Linked DNA regions of Nothobranchius furzeri. The protein of the gene in region 1 purifies or fractionates together with the protein of each later gene. This does not show direct contact. Links are inferred from orthologs where the notes say so. Each region holds a gene or a part of one and is shown in the gene's direction. Other genes may lie near its edges.

The links. The genes of interacting proteins can lie anywhere in the genome.
Region 2: the proteins of kif22 (region 1) and kpna4 purify together in Homo sapiens (affinity purification with mass spectrometry; 3 studies listed by BioGRID and IntAct, counting the BioPlex papers as one, with this or other methods). This does not show direct contact. The link is inferred for Nothobranchius furzeri from reciprocal best matches to the Homo sapiens genes KIF22 and KPNA4.

Annotation. Positions count from the first base shown.
Region 1 is NC_091756.1:34,662,038-34,669,642, forward strand, and holds the start of kif22 (kinesin-like protein KIF22), read left to right. Parts: upstream 1-2,854; 5' UTR 2,855-2,979; intron 2,980-3,227; 5' UTR 3,228-3,245; coding exon 3,246-3,433; intron 3,434-3,508; coding exon 3,509-3,636; intron 3,637-3,712; coding exon 3,713-3,864; intron 3,865-6,856; coding exon 6,857-7,066; intron 7,067-7,375; coding exon 7,376-7,605. Other genes in the region: pagr1 (PAXIP1-associated glutamate-rich protein 1), read right to left, coding at 244-479, 559-647, 733-1,066, 1,949-2,120. UniProt on the Homo sapiens protein: Kinesin family member that is involved in spindle formation and the movements of chromosomes during mitosis and meiosis. Binds to microtubules and to DNA. Plays a role in congression of laterally attached chromosomes in NDC80-depleted cells.
Region 2 is NC_091753.1:52,637,484-52,645,219, reverse strand, and holds the start of kpna4 (importin subunit alpha-3), read left to right. Parts: upstream 1-3,177; 5' UTR 3,178-3,317; coding exon 3,318-3,386; intron 3,387-6,919; coding exon 6,920-6,964; intron 6,965-7,047; coding exon 7,048-7,137; intron 7,138-7,736. UniProt on the Homo sapiens protein: Functions in nuclear protein import as an adapter protein for nuclear receptor KPNB1. Binds specifically and directly to substrates containing either a simple or bipartite NLS motif.

The DNA of each region.
Region 1 (7,605 bases):
CTTTTCTGTTATTTAGATTCAGATTATGATTTGCCTTCTTATATGTACACCTTAACATGAAAACTGAGGTTCTAGATTTTAAACCCAACTTCTTTTTAATTAGTTATCATGACCCAGTTAACAGTGTTAAAAGTTAAAAGCTTTATTGCCATCATACAAAAAACATACAAAACGTGAACATTAGAAAATGAAAGTCTTGCGAGAGCCCTGAGAAGCTCTTGATTGCTTCTGGGACTGAATACTTCAGTATCTCCTCTGTCTCGGGGAGAAGATGGTGTCTGGGTTGCTGTCTCGCTCCCTCTCCTTCTCCCGCTCCTTCTGGCTGTTTGGGGAAAGGGCCTCCTCCACCTTCTTCTCGGTCTTGAATAGATCTCTGCCCGTGCGCCTGATTTGCTCCTCAATTTTGCGGTGGCGCTTCATGTCCGACAGCACTTTGTCCAGACGAGCTTCTCTCTTCACAGAGGAGCGAGCTGACGAGCCTGGAATGCAGGGAGGAAACAGTTTGGCTTTCCTCGCTGAACCCAGGAAATCAGGATATAAAAAAATAAATCATCAAACCTGGTGTTCTGCGTCTGTTTATGAAGGAGTTTTTAGGAGTTGAATGAAGTTGCTCCTCATCAAAGTCAAACTCTGTTGGAGACGGAGGCCTGGGGGTGGGGGGGTGGGGGGGGAGTGGTAAATCAAATTTATCCAAATAACAGAAGATAAGAAAAAGAAAGGAGAGCTACTGACTTGCATTCCCTTTCCAGCCTCTCCCTTTCCTTTGCTGCCTCCTCCTCTTCGTCTCTCTCGGGTGAAGGGGTGCGTTCAGGTGTGGGAGGCCTTCTAGGAAGGGGCACAAAGTTCAATTCCAGCATCTCCCCTTTAGCGAGGATATCATAAAGTCTTTTGATCTCAGGAGGAGCAGGCATCCAGTTTTTGGGGTCCTCCATTTCCTCGTCGCTGTAGGGAAGCTCCCACTCGTCGTCTGCTCCGGCAGCCAGCTTCCCCTCTTCAGCATCCCCTCCTGCTTCCCCCTGAGGTTCATTCTCTTGTGTCCCTCCTTCCACCACCTCTGTGTTCTCATCTGAGAAGACAGAAAAGTACACAAATGTATTTTTTGACACAATGTAATAAGAAGTTATTTATGTTTGTCTTATTTTATGTTGCAAGCACTCTCATTTTGTTCTTCTTTACTAATGAAGTACACTTCTGCATCTTCCAAAGCCTGTGTAATATGTTGGTATTTAAAAAAGACACTTTGATGCCCACTTACTTCCTGCTTGGATATCTGGACATGTTTTATTCATGAGACTGACTCAGAAGAAATTAGTTTATTTAGCTGGTGTCTGTGTTTTAACAACTAAATGTTACAAAACACGAGTTTAATTATTTTCCTATTCATGGTGTCCTAGATTAATTCTACTGTGGTAAATTCAGATACTTAAACCCTCATAAGTTTTATTGGTCACTCCTTCACCTGCTGGTGTAATCCTGTATCTGCACTTGTCTTAAAATGTGAACTCTAGCTATTTTAAGCATCACATGATTGCTCTGCTATTACGAGTTATGGTTTTGAGTATTTATTTCAAAAGTTCGTTCGTTCAAAACATAGAAGTAAGGAGAATTTGAGTAAAGTGAACACAGATCATTTTACAAGGTCTGGTGTGTCAAGTGTGTTTGTGGCATCATTTGACTTTTTTTGGTGTATTTTTTTTATAACTGCAAATGATAAATACAAGTGTGTCCTAACTGAAGAAGTAATCTAGTTAAATACTTGGGAATTAAATATTGACCAAAAACACAATATTTCTGATTATTATTCACAATTGAGCAGCCCTATTCTTTATGTGGCTTGTTATTTACTGATACAGCCTTTGAGTGATTGCTTTTGGCCACATCTGGTGCTAATCAGACGGATTTCTGACTCCAAGAGTTTACAAAGTTATTTATCCTTTAAGGGAGTTACCTGTGTCATCCTTTGCAGTGGTGTCTTTCTCCTCTGTGACAGCTGTCATCTCTGAGTCCTGTTGCTTCTCTAGGCCGCCTTCCTCCTGGTCTGCAGCAGATTTCTCTGGATCATTCACACCTAGAGCCTCAACACCCTCTCTAAGAGAAGAGTTGGTGACTTCAGTCTGCATCCTACCTGCTGCTGGACAACTTTAATAGGATCTGCGAAACAGCAGCATGTTTGATAATAATTAGCAATGGGAGATAATGGCAGTTATTATTTACACGGGTAACGAGTCAAGTTACGCCTGTTACTAAAGCGTAATAAGCAATTTGAGAATATTTAGGTTTATTTGTTTTATTCCTACTGGGCTAGCTAACGTCAAACCGCACCGCAGAAATAAAGGAAATCCTTCATTGTTATTACCGATTTGTCGTGAGTCAGCGTTGGTCACGTTAAAATTTGATTTTAAAGTAATTCCCAAGTGATGGGATCATCATAGCTCTCCATGAGGCTAGCTAAGTGCATTAAAAGATTCAACATGGACATAAACATAGCGCCATTTTGGCTGAATAGGTTGCTTGACGATGTTGTCGCGTTTAACCGGGCTCCAAATCCCGCTGATTTAAATGCGTATGGCTAAGTCATTCCAGGGCTTCTACTGTCTAAAATGTGAAAGGAGATGAAGTGGAAATCTACGCTAAACGTAACTTCCTGTTAGCTGTGCCGTGGCTAAACGACTCGTATTGTTTGGAGGGGAAAAGTAAAACCTCTTTAATTTAACTTTTACTCAATATACTAGTTTTTAAAATATACTATTAAATACAACAAAACTACAATTATGTTTTATGAATTATTTAGCGCTTAATGAGATCGCTGAAAGGCGCCAGCGTTCACGCGAGCTCTGATTGGTTAAAACCCATTTCCGGTCTCAGTCTTTTCGTTTAAAATTTTTTCAGTTAGAAGTTTTGGCCCATCGCCATTGTTAAAAGGAGAAGCTGGGAATGTTTGGACGATAAAAACGCGTTTTTTGGAAGACGTTTTTAACGGTAAGCTTTCCCCAATAAACTTAAAAAAGCGGAGTGGCAGATTTCGAGGAAACATTAGTTTGGAAACAACATTACCTCCTTTCGTGTGTTTGCTTCTCGTGACGCAATGATGAAAACCTAGAGCTTACCTTCAAATACTCCATTTATGCTCTGTTCATGCATTTACTGGTGTGTATTATACTAAATATTCGCGTGGCATAGAGTTTGATAAAGTGGATGAACATCACTCTGGCTTTTTCGTTATCCAGGCCTTTGTTTGTGTGAAGATGGCGCAGCGTGTGTTGGTAGCAGATGGTGGAAACAAGAAGACCTCCCGGGTTCGGGTAGCGGTTCGTCTGCGGCCTTACATGAGCAAACAAGATGATAAACACGAGGGTCCGTGTGTCAGAGGCCTGGACTCCCAGAACCTGGAGATAGTCAACTGGAGGAATGCAACAGAAACTGTGAAATACCAGTCAGTATCACTCTCCCAAGTGTCCTCCTCTCCTCACGACATTTGACTCTAAACATGGTTTGGTTTTTGTTCCAGCTTCGATGTTTTCCACGGAGAGGACACAACACAGGAAGAGGTTTTCCTCTCATCAGTGAAGTCGATTCTACCAAATATACTGAAAGGACAAAACGCCAGCGTGTTTGCTTATGGGCCAACAGGAGCTGGTGTGTTCTGGTGCCATTGTCACTGGAATAAGTGTGTTTTTCTTCCTAACATTAACCTGCATGGCTTCATTCACAGGTAAGACTCACACCATGTTGGGAAGTCCAGAGCAGCCTGGCGTGATCCCTCTAGCTGTTGAGGAGGTCTTTAATCTGGTCCGAGCCACGGATCAGGATGAAGGATGGGACTACAGCGTAGGAATGTCATATTTGGAAATTTATAATGAAAAGGTTTGTTTGTCCCGGTTACATCATTACTGTATGCACAGTGGTCTCCAGTCTCCTCAGGTTGGGAATCACTGTACAGATGAAGCTCAAAATATTAGAATATGATGCAAAAGCAGATTAAAGGTGAAACTAATACATTAAAAAAAACTTAATTACATGCAAAGCCAGATATTTCAAGCCCTTGTTATAACTGATGATTATGGCTTACAGCTTAATGAAACCCCACATTCAAAATCTCAGACTATTAGAATATTGTGAAAAGGTTCAATATTCTAGACTCATGCGCAAATAACCTGTGAAAATAATTGAAGACATCATGCTAGATCAGCAGCCTGTGATGACACCTGGTTCTGCTCACTGTAGGAGCCGCTTTAGAATAAATAAATATAATAATATACCAAAAATGAATCAAACCAAGCTCTTCAAAACACCGAACTGAATACTATTTTATCGTTACCGCACCGTTACACCCCTAAAATCTTTAATTACACACATAAACCACCTGGTACACTCAGACAAAATGACATTACACACAGATCAGTTTACAAGTACAACAATCCTTTTGAGACTCTTTTCTCACCTGACTGATTTGTGTGTGTATGGTGCATTTGAATACTGGGTGGAAGCTGGGAAATCTGAATTTCCTTTGGATTTAGTTTAAACTTGTGTTGACGGGACAAATGTGTTTTTCTGTGGAAAAACAGAGTACCGTAAATCCTCTAATATTGGCCTGTATTCAGTTAACTGCCGGGTATCACATTTTGGCCGGTGTCTGAGTTGGCGGAGGTGAATAATGGTCGGTTTTTTATTGTGGCCAGGTGAAATGTGGTAACAAGCAAGTACCACGAGGGGGGGGGGGGGGGCGCGGTTGTGTCATCGTCTCACTTTTGATTTGCCAGTGATAGACTGCGAGGGTAACTTTAACGGTGCGGAGACGAAGAGGAGGCGAAAATTTGATATCAAGTTCAAAGAGAACGTGCTGATTATACTGCAGAACACTCTGGGGAGCAGTAGCAGGGGTTGTATGAACTAGTCACTAGTCGACTTCACTATAGTGACTTTTTATGCCTGTCATCGACTAGTCGCTGTCACGTGATAATGACCGGCAAGATGTAGTCCACGGAAAAGACAGCAGCCTGCTGTCAGCAGGTGACAAGCTCCTGCGTGTCGGGAGGCGACGCACTGTGCCAGAGCGTCGGTACTGACACCCGCCGTAAAACGGACATTTAACCAAATTGTGACCTTTACCCTCTTGCAATTTAACATTCCCCTCACCCCCATCCTACCCTTAACTAGCTTGCGCATGCAAAGCTCTGATTGTTGACGTGCTCCAGACATCTGCGTCCTGAGTAACGTTATCAAATCAGGTGTCGCCACCTCAAAAACAAATTGAACACGCGATCGTTCATGTCGGCTCATTTCCTTTTATGTTTTCTGTCTTTTACTTTATTTGTGCCTGATGCTTTTCGCTGCTGTGGAGCAAGGCGCGTCACCTGTTTTGTCCTCCCAGGATTTCAGCCGTGGCGGCCCGCCACGGCTGAAATCCCACCGCCACGCCTACAAGATCCCAAGTTTTATTTATTTATTTTTGGCGCTGTTTCCCGAAGAAGCAGCGGGAACTACTATGTTGCCGCTTGTGATCACAGCCGGCGGGCAGCAAGGAGGATCAGGCAGGGCAAGGTGAAGTTACAGCAATAGTTACTGAGTTTAAAATTAGAAAGGTAGCAGTGGATATAATGCTTGTTGGTTTACATGTTTCAATAGCATTAAGATAAACGAGTGTTGACGATCTTGACAGGGTTTCCTCCAGTGCTTATTAGGCCAGGTTTTCCTCCCCCCACCAGGCTAAGCATCACTTACTCATGTAAAATTTATTTTTTCATGACTGACTTTAACCGCATCTAGTACTGTATTACGGCGTGAGCGCAACAGCGACAACTTAAGATCGATGTGTGAGCAGCCTGAGAGGTTGGGTGTTTTCATCTGAACCCTTAAAACCTCCAGCAGGCTACGCTGCACTGTTGACATGTTAGCGCGCGGCGTTAACAACTTAGTGACGTGACATGTCTCGGAGAAAGCGTAAAAACACGTTGGACACTTCTTCTTAAGCAGAACACGACGTCGCCTCGGCTCGTTCACGGCCGAGCCGGACTGAGCTCAATAACATGACCAGCACAGCCACTGGGTCGTTGGAGCTGCCCCGTGACTGCCTGATGGAAAATCAGCGGGTTTCATCAGACTTGTAAAGTTTCTTGTTTTTGCTGGGGACCCCCTGTATTTTACAGCTCCCTCCTGCAGTCTTCCCCTATTAACATTTAAAATGATTCTGTAAATTCCGTGTATCAATAGAATAAATCTCTGCCAGCTGCAGTAAATGTAGTCTCCAAATAATAAATAAGAGGTGCATTCATCTGTGTATCTCCTTTGATCCGCATTAGTGATATTCTCAGCACCAGAACAGTGAAGCAAAGAAACAGATTCCTGGGTTTGTTAGTAATTTTATTTATTAGGTGCATCTGACCTGTTCTATTTTTCTCTGAAATGAGATCAAATCAGTGCTTCCATGGATTGTCTCCTCTCTGCACTAGAAAATGTAACTTTATTTAGAGACGTGTCATAATTTAACGTGCTGCAAAACTACCCGGAAGTTCTGACGGGGGAAACAAGCCCGTCTCCACTGATAACGGCCGCTCCTCCGAGGGTAGGTAGGAGGGGGATTCAAATGCAATTTCAGCTAGTTAAGCAACAACTCTGCATGTTCCTATAGAACTGACCAAGCTCTTCAGATGAGAGATGTCCTCAAGAAACAAACGCATTCAGTTGCCTTCATTCAAACCTACATGGAATACCATGACACTGTTGAGCCAAAAGCACCGTTTCAACTGGGTGTCCTGCTGACTGGGAGCTGTAGACACCAGTTACACCTGCAGACTAAAACATCTAAAGAGGTCGTGTTTTGGGCGATCTTCACAACTTTCCTCTCTCGTTTTCTCAGGTTCTCGATCTTCTATCTCAGAACTCGCAGGATTTGCCCATCAGAGAAGACAAAGACAAGAACATTTTAATACCAGGTCTCACCCACACAGTCATCTCCTCCTCCTGTGATTTCGATAAGTACTTTGTTCCTGCTACCCTCAAACGCACCACAGCGTCTACCAAACTAAACCAACGCTCCAGCCGCAGTCACGCCATTCTGCTCATCAAGGTTTGATATGGTTCACTATATAGTCTTCTTGATGTTTGAACTGCTCCATGGGAAAACAGCATCTTAAACAGGTCGTGGTCTCTGAGCGGTAGACCAGGATTTGGTAGCTGGTGCTAACAGCAGTTCTCTCTTGCAACAATCCCACAAGCAACACGTGCTGTTTGGGACATCTATGGGAGAGAAACAACCCCGTGTTTGCTGTCAGATGTTCGTCTTTTTGTCTTTTTTTTTCTATCTCAATCTCATCTAATCTGCCTTCTTCTGTCTCTCCTAACCCCACATTAACCCCCATCTTTACCAATGATCCAGGTTGTGCGGACTCAGCGTCCTCTACCCCACAGACAGCAGACGGGAAAGCTGTACTTGGTGGACTTGGCTGGCTCAGAGGACAACCGCCGCACGGGCAACCAAGGCATCCGTCTGAAGGAGAGCGGTGCCATCAACCTGTCTCTCTTCACGCTCAGCAAAGTAGTGGACGCCCTGAACTCCGCCTCTGGCCGTGTGCCGTACAGAGACAGTAAACTGACGCGGCTGCTGCA
Region 2 (7,736 bases), on another chromosome or scaffold:
TGGCTACATCGTAGCTCATCATCATCAGTGTGCGAATGTGTGTGTGAGTGGATGATGATGCACTGTAGTGTAAAGCGCTTTAGAATCCTTACTCTGAAAGGCGCTATACAAGTGCGGGTCATTTGTCATCATGGTTTATAGTCCCTCCAGAGTGTCCTGGTCTAACTTTAGGCCTCCTCCCAGTTGGACGTGCCCGGAAAACCTCACCAGGGAGGCGTCCAGGAGGCATCCTAATCAGGTGCCCGAGCCACCTCAACTGGCTCCTCTCGATGTGGAGGAGCAGCAGATCTACTCTGGGCCCCTCCCAGATGACCGTTCTTTTGGTCACCACCCAAAGCTAGTGACCATAGATGAGGGTAGGAAAGTAGATCGAGAGCTCTGCTTCTGTCTCAGCTCTCTCTTCACCGCGACAGATTGGTACAACGTCCGCATCACTGCAGACACTCCATCTTTCAGGACCTCATCCCCGACCTGGAGAAGGCATTCTACCCTTTTCCGAATTTAGAGGAGGTAATTCTCATCCCAGCTGCCTCACACTGCTGCGAACCGCTCCGGTGAAAGCTAGAGATCACGTTCTGACGAAGCCAACAGACATCAAAACATTAATAAATCACCTACAGACTCAGAACTGAGGCACTTACACGTCATGATCAATGCTTTCTGTAAAGATGAAATCTGACATAAATGCTGCAGATCATTTCTGCCTGGAGGCTTTTGCAGAACAAACACGTCAAAGATAACACCACGTTAATCCGTCAGCCGCTCCATTCAGCCAAAATATAACCGATGTCACCGTTGTGAAGGAAACACAATCTTCTCCTGGCTTCCTGTCTGACGGCTGGAGACAGGTGTAACCGTGTCTGTCCTCCATAGTTGCACAGTCACTTTGGTTATAAATAGCTCTACCGAAAGTAGTGGAGGGACAAGAAGGGGAGGGATCTCTGGGTCCTCGTAAAAGACCAAATACAGGAAGACAACACCGTTCACACAGTCGCACAAAAGGAAGAGGACGACGAGACCCTTTTCACATTTCAGTCACGGGTACCCATGCATCCCAGCCTCAGAAACAAGTGCAAGTCCTCATGCTGGGCCTAGATGGCTCAGGAAAGACTTCCCTGCTCTACAAGCTGAAATACAACGAGAATGTGGTTACCGTACCGACCGCTGGTTTCACCGTGGAGTCCTTGGAGATCGACGGGAAAAGCCCAGAGCTGACGGTGTGGGATGTTGGTGGTCAGAGGAAGATGAGGCCTCACTGGAGGCATTACTACTATGAAACAGCTGGCCTGATGTTTGCGGTGGACAGCCAGAACGAGAGACGGCTGGACGAGGCTCGCAAAGAACTGCACAGGGTAGCTACGAAAGAAACTGTTTTGTTATACAATGAAGGTTTCATGTGAAAAGTTTTTAACTGTAACAAAAACGGATCTCCTCTACCTCTCAGGTCCTGAGGCAGGACAGTCTCAGAGGAGTTCCTCTTGTGGTTCTGGCCAACAAACAGGCTCTACCAGATGCTCTGAGCCCCCAATCACTGTCTGTGAAACTGGACTTGAGGGGTGGGTGTGGCGGGCCGGGCGTGGTTCGTCCAGCCCTCCTCAGCCAACACTGGGACGGGACTGGAAGAAGGTTTCATGAGGACGGTTTATCTGATGAAGACCCCTTTCAGACAGACTCAGGACGACATTAAGGTTCAGATGAGATCTAAAGGCTTCGGTTTCGCAGCAGTGAAGCGATTCTGTGGCAGCTGATTACAGGACGATTACTTTTGATGTTTGATTCCTGTCGTCTTTCATCCAACTGAAACCAACTGCGAGGTCAAAGGATGATGCTAACGCAGAGATTAGAGTTAATCCGTGTGGTGAAACTGCTGCGGGGTGAAGAGGCGGGAGGAAAAAAACTGTGAGGGGTTTGTGAAAAATCTGGGATTATTGGGGTGGATTTGAGAAAGCCGTCATGAGGGGCCTTGAGACAGTTCTCTGAAACTACAAATGTATATGAATAAATTAGCAAATAAGGTTTAGATATATTTTATCACTATAAATCATTTTCTTGTGTTTTATATTATTTGAAAATCAAGTTTATTTTGAGCAAATGTCATCTTACAATAAAGGAAGTTCATGTATTTGATCATATTCAGTGTGTTTGTGATTTTTTTAAACCTGCAAAAATGATAATGATGCATTAGCTTCTGATAGAAAACAGACGGTCTAACTGTGGGATTAGAAAAGCCTGACAGATCTACGTCACACTGTCACTTAACAGTCATGGACTCACCCATCTTGGCTCACAATGGGGAAGGCTGTTGTTGGTTTAACGTCCAGGAAACAGCAGAGAACGTCCCGACTAGCAGAAGCTAACATTAGCATTAGCAACTCCACCACACAGCAGAGCACCTCCACGCTTGTGTTATATGTGGAAAAAAACATCATGGTTGCAAAGCAAATGAAGTTGGTGGTAGAGTCGTGTTGCTGTTAGCCAATCAGAGGCGAGATGTCCAAATATCAGGAAATGTTTTACTTCCTGAAACTGGGTCTGTGCTTTTTAATAACCAAGTACGACTTTCATTCACTAATTAATTACTAGAATGAAGCCACAGCAAATGTATTGATGAAGCGTGTGCCCCACATCTTTAAATGCAAATGAATTCTGAAGTAAATCAAATTTCTAAATACCATTGCACTCTTATATATTGACAGATATCATTTATATACAGAGGAAATTTCACTCATAATTGTTTAATAAAACTTAATTAAACATTTTTCCGCATTTCCTGTTTGTTATTTTGTCTTTTTATTATTGATCACATCATGTTATTGTTGAATTTGAGCAACACAAAGGGTAAAATAAGGAGAGGGAGGGTTCTCTGTCTTATGACGTTTTTCATTTGCATGGAAGACAAATAACACCTTCTGTAAAGTCAAACCTGCTATATTACTCCGCTAGTGTAAAACACTAAAGTATTTTGTTTCCATAACAAATCTATATTATGGTGCAGTGATAATTGACCAGATGTGACCTTTTTCTTCCAGTAAACTTCATGCGTTTTGCCTACATGTGATGCGGTGCTCCCACCGCCACGGACGTTGGCAGTGAAACCAATGAGAGCGGAGTGGAGGGGATTTCCCCACCCTTCCTCTACGACACAGCGAGGCGCCCCCCCCTCCACCACCGGCATTCCCAGTATGCACCGCGGACAGAGCAGCGAAAAGTAGTCCGCTAACGAAACGCCGTGAAACGGGAACAAGAAAAAAAGAGGGTAGCTCGCCCGCTAAATTCACGAGTCGAACTGTGTATTTAACGTGACCAGAACAGCAAACATGGCTGACAACGAGAAACTGGACAACCAGCGGCTGAAGAATTTCAAGAACAAGGGTCGAGATTTGGAGGTAAAAGTTGTGCGGATAAGGTGTTTAGGCTCGCCGCTGCTAGCTGCTGCGTTCACGGCCAGCCTTGCCTCTCGGCTGCGCTGTGACGTCGTTTCTAATTTCCACCATCGGGATCTCTGCTGCCAGAGCCCGGCCAAGGCCTTCACGAATCGACCGTTAAGCACCGTTGGCTTTTGGCAGAGTGGCTTCTTGTTCGGTTTCTATCGTTTTGTTACACCGTTAGACCGCATTGCTTAAGAAACATGTCAGAAAAGCCTCCGCTGGATGTGCCAGGGCCGCGGGGGGACATGCGAGCTCAACTGAAGCATTTCACCCCCGAGTCGGTTTAGTTCGGTGTAATATGTCACATATATCAGTAAAAGTACACCTAATTGACCCAGGTTGTCTCCTTTTGAGATATAATATCGATAAACACGCCAGCCTAGCGGCGGATTAATGTAGTTTAATACCGCAGTAAGCTAACTTGCGTGCTAGCTGAGCTCGCGCTGGTTGCATTTCCACCCATCCCCCGTCTCTACAACCAAAAACAATGGCGGAAACCAGTTAGCCGTTTAGCTGACCAGTTACCTGGATCTTAACGTCATGCGTGTGTGTTCCATTGTTTTGTTTATCACCAACGAATATTTAGAAATCTATAAACACCTGGTCGACCTCGTGACATGGTAGATCAAGCTACACGTTAGCAAACGTCAGATCAATACTAGGTGAGTTACTGTCAGCCCGGCGTGTCTCATTGTCTCATGTGAGCGTATGGTAGCGAAATAAGGTCTCGGGCGGGATTTTACCTTACGGGTGTTTATAGGCGGGATGTGCCCGTACATCCTGCTTGACAAGTCGTTACTTTCTCTGAAGAAGCAGGCCTCAAGAGTCGTATCGCTCATCGATTTGTCAATAACTTTAGCTACAAGTATGGAAGAGGTTCGGAGGAGGTGGACACACCCAGACTCCTCAGTGAGCAGAAACTTCAGACTTATTTCATTACCATACTGAAATAACGTGTATTTAATCGTTTGATCACGTGACTAAATACGTTGCTCACTCACATTGCATCAAGTGTTTAGATTCGTTTGCAAATAACCAGGAAGATTAAAAAGTGGCATTTAGGCAACATAAACCACTGAATCTTCGAGATCCTGAAATAAAATAGTCTTGATGCAATCATCATCAACTCTGCACGATAACATCTGACACCATTCAAGTTAATTCAAGCTACAGATCGACTGATATGGGTTTTTTCTATTGCAGATACCAATGCCCACTGGTAGGGGTCATGGTCAGCCAATGGCCGATATCTAGACTTTTTCCACCATAACTCTTTGCTAAAATGTCACTAATAACGGGATGCACAACATTCATGAACCTAATCAGTTGACACAGAATTTGACATCATGAATCATAATTTTACGCTCTGCGTGGTATTAAAATCAATCTTTTAACCAACGTTTATCAAAAAGAAAACAAAAACCTGACTAAGTATTAAATATGCAAACCAGGTAAATAAGAATAAATGTCAGTTGACAATGTTTTCGAGAATTTATTAATCAGATGCTATTAAAGAGCAAGTCACTCCAAATCAACATTTTTTTCTCCTGATAAACTATATAAATGAGTGCCTAATCGTGCTGCAGACACGTGTAGTCAATAATTCGGCACTTTAGTGCATCTTAGTTAAAATTTAAATATTCTGCCTAAAACTGTCAGTGTTGCACCGTCGTCAGGTAAAAACTCAGCACTGCATTTGAATTTAAATCTGCCGTCGCTATTGGCTAAGAGGTACACTATGATGTTAGATGGTACATTATAATGTCACAATGCCGTGAGTGTGTGTATTTGTTAGCGGCTCAACCCTCTCGGTCTGCTAGGCAACAGCATTTGTTGCATTTTTCAAACAGGAAGTGGGAGTTGAGTAAGAATCTGGTAGGGGGTGACTTGCTCTTTAAGGAGGGTAAACATAAAATTGTGTAGTGGAATCGGGCTGCCCACTGATGTGCTTGACTTCAAATCAGCTTTAGTATAGTGAAAGGTAAATTACAGCTCCATTTTTTTTGGTCCATCCCCAATTCAACCTGTCATATTTAATGGCATAGGTGATTGTTTGTCATTAGACAAGAAAACAAGAAAATGTGGATTGTATCCCACTTCCTACTCCACATTTGTGTGGAGAAGCTACATCATAGCGGTCCAAGTTTGGTACAATGCTGCATGTAATAATTTATTTTAAATTAGCACATTTTTATAATTAGCATGGAAACATTGTGGTGATTCTTAAAAGTGTTTAATACAAATTTTCTCTGTTTCAGTTTTAAGTTGGATCCAAAATGTATTTTTGGACCAATTTAAGATCTTTTTTATCAAGCTTCTAATATTATAGACAATATGATAGCTTAGCTTATCAAACAACCTTTAATCTACTTTGTAACCTGTTAATACAAATGCTGTAGTCGAATGGACGTAGTAACCTTAAACCAGAAATAAAGTGTACACAAAAATGACTTGTGCTCACAAATGTATCCAGCTAAAAGTCATTTTTGGGTTTGTACCAGACTCGTGCATTGAAGAGGAGGAGTGCTTTTATATAACTAACGTAGCAGGATAAAATAAATCATTAGCGTTTGTAACATTAGAGGGAAAATGTGGCATACAAACGTGTACTAAAGGTAAAGTCACCACCACTACTGTTGTTGCTACACCTACAAGTAAATACATACAAGTAACTCTCTGTTGATGTTAGCAGCTAACAAGAGGTTATTAGCTTACAGAGGCGACTCTTTGCGCTCTGCCATGACGTGCTCGTCCATCGCAGATGTGCGCCCATGAATGTAGAGTTTCACTTTGCAGATTTTGCACTGTGCATGCTTCTCGTTTATTTGTCGTTGTAAAACGCTCTGCACCTTCTGAGCTATGCTGTGGACTCGCCATGATGTCATCTTTCGCCGGTTATTCTTGATTCAAAGGCTGATCTGGACGGCCACGACTGCGCTTGTGCCTCGAGCAGAAAGCAGCCACTGAAGGTGCCACAGAAAGCGTGATTTAATAAATGCTCATACAATAAATGATGTCGACTATTAAATTTCTAGTTGACTATCTTGTTTGTCAGCGTCGTCGTGATGAATCGACTAATCGTGGCAGCACTAATCGTGCCTCGTGATTGTGTCGCGCTTTACGAACACACAGCTAAACCGAAAACAATTAATAAAGCTAAATCTGCGAATTGAAGACTTTGTACACCTTTTAGTTAATTTAGTGAATAAATGTCAAAATCTTCAGTCACAGCAACTTTTGACTCATTTTCAGATGATTAAGCTTTTAGGTGACTTGATCATTACTGTTTTGGAATATTATTTTCCCCACTGAAGGTAAATATTTACCCTTTAAAATTTATAAATTATTGGTCGGTTCGGTTAAGAAACTGGATGAGGATTTGAGTTGGTCAATTGGTGACCTCTGAATGGGAAAATGATGTTTACACGCATATAAAATGTTGCTTTAGCTTAAATTCATGTTTTAACACGTTTTATGTCGTGTTCCTGCAGACCATGAGAAGACAGAGGACTGAAGTAGTGGTGGAACTCAGAAAGGTATATAATCTTGTTGAGATTTTTGTAGGCGTTTTATCTGCATACGATTTTAATATGTGCACGGTGATTTCTGTGCACCACAGAACAAGAGGGATGAACACCTTCTGAAGAGGAGAAACGTGCCTCATGAGGACATCTGTGAGGACTCCGACGTCGATGGAGATTTCAGATCAGTATGTTTTCTCTTTTACATTCCTGTTTGTCTCTGCCCTCTCAGTCTGCTAGGCAACAGCATTTGTTGCATTTTTCAAACAGGAAGTGGGAGTGAAGTAAGTTTCTTGTAGGGGGTGACTTGCTCTTTGAAGCACACCCAGTCAGAAAGAAAATAACACAAGTTCTCACATTCACCAAGGGTCTCAACTGTTGAGATTCAGTTCCTGCAACGACATCATGGTGTCTGGGACCAGCTCCGAACGGGCAGCGTAACGGTGCATCTGCAGCGGCATGCTGCTCAGACTCAGAGAAACCCATTAGAGGGGCTTTTGTGGATCACGCAATTCACTCCAGTTTAAATTCTTGCAAACCAGTGACCGCTGTTTGACTGTTTTCAGTCAGGCTACGATCATTCAGTACATAAATAATCGCCACTGGAAGGGAATTTGATGCTTTTTATTTTTTTGAAGGGTCACTCATTTGCGAACTCGTCATGTTGCTCTCATGCAAACTTTTATTTCTCACGTGTTACTGTTTGTTTAAGAAAGAATGAGGTTATCAGAGCTATGTTTGCTACCACTCCTGTTAGAGGTTCACGGTTAGTCTGGCCAGTTTATCA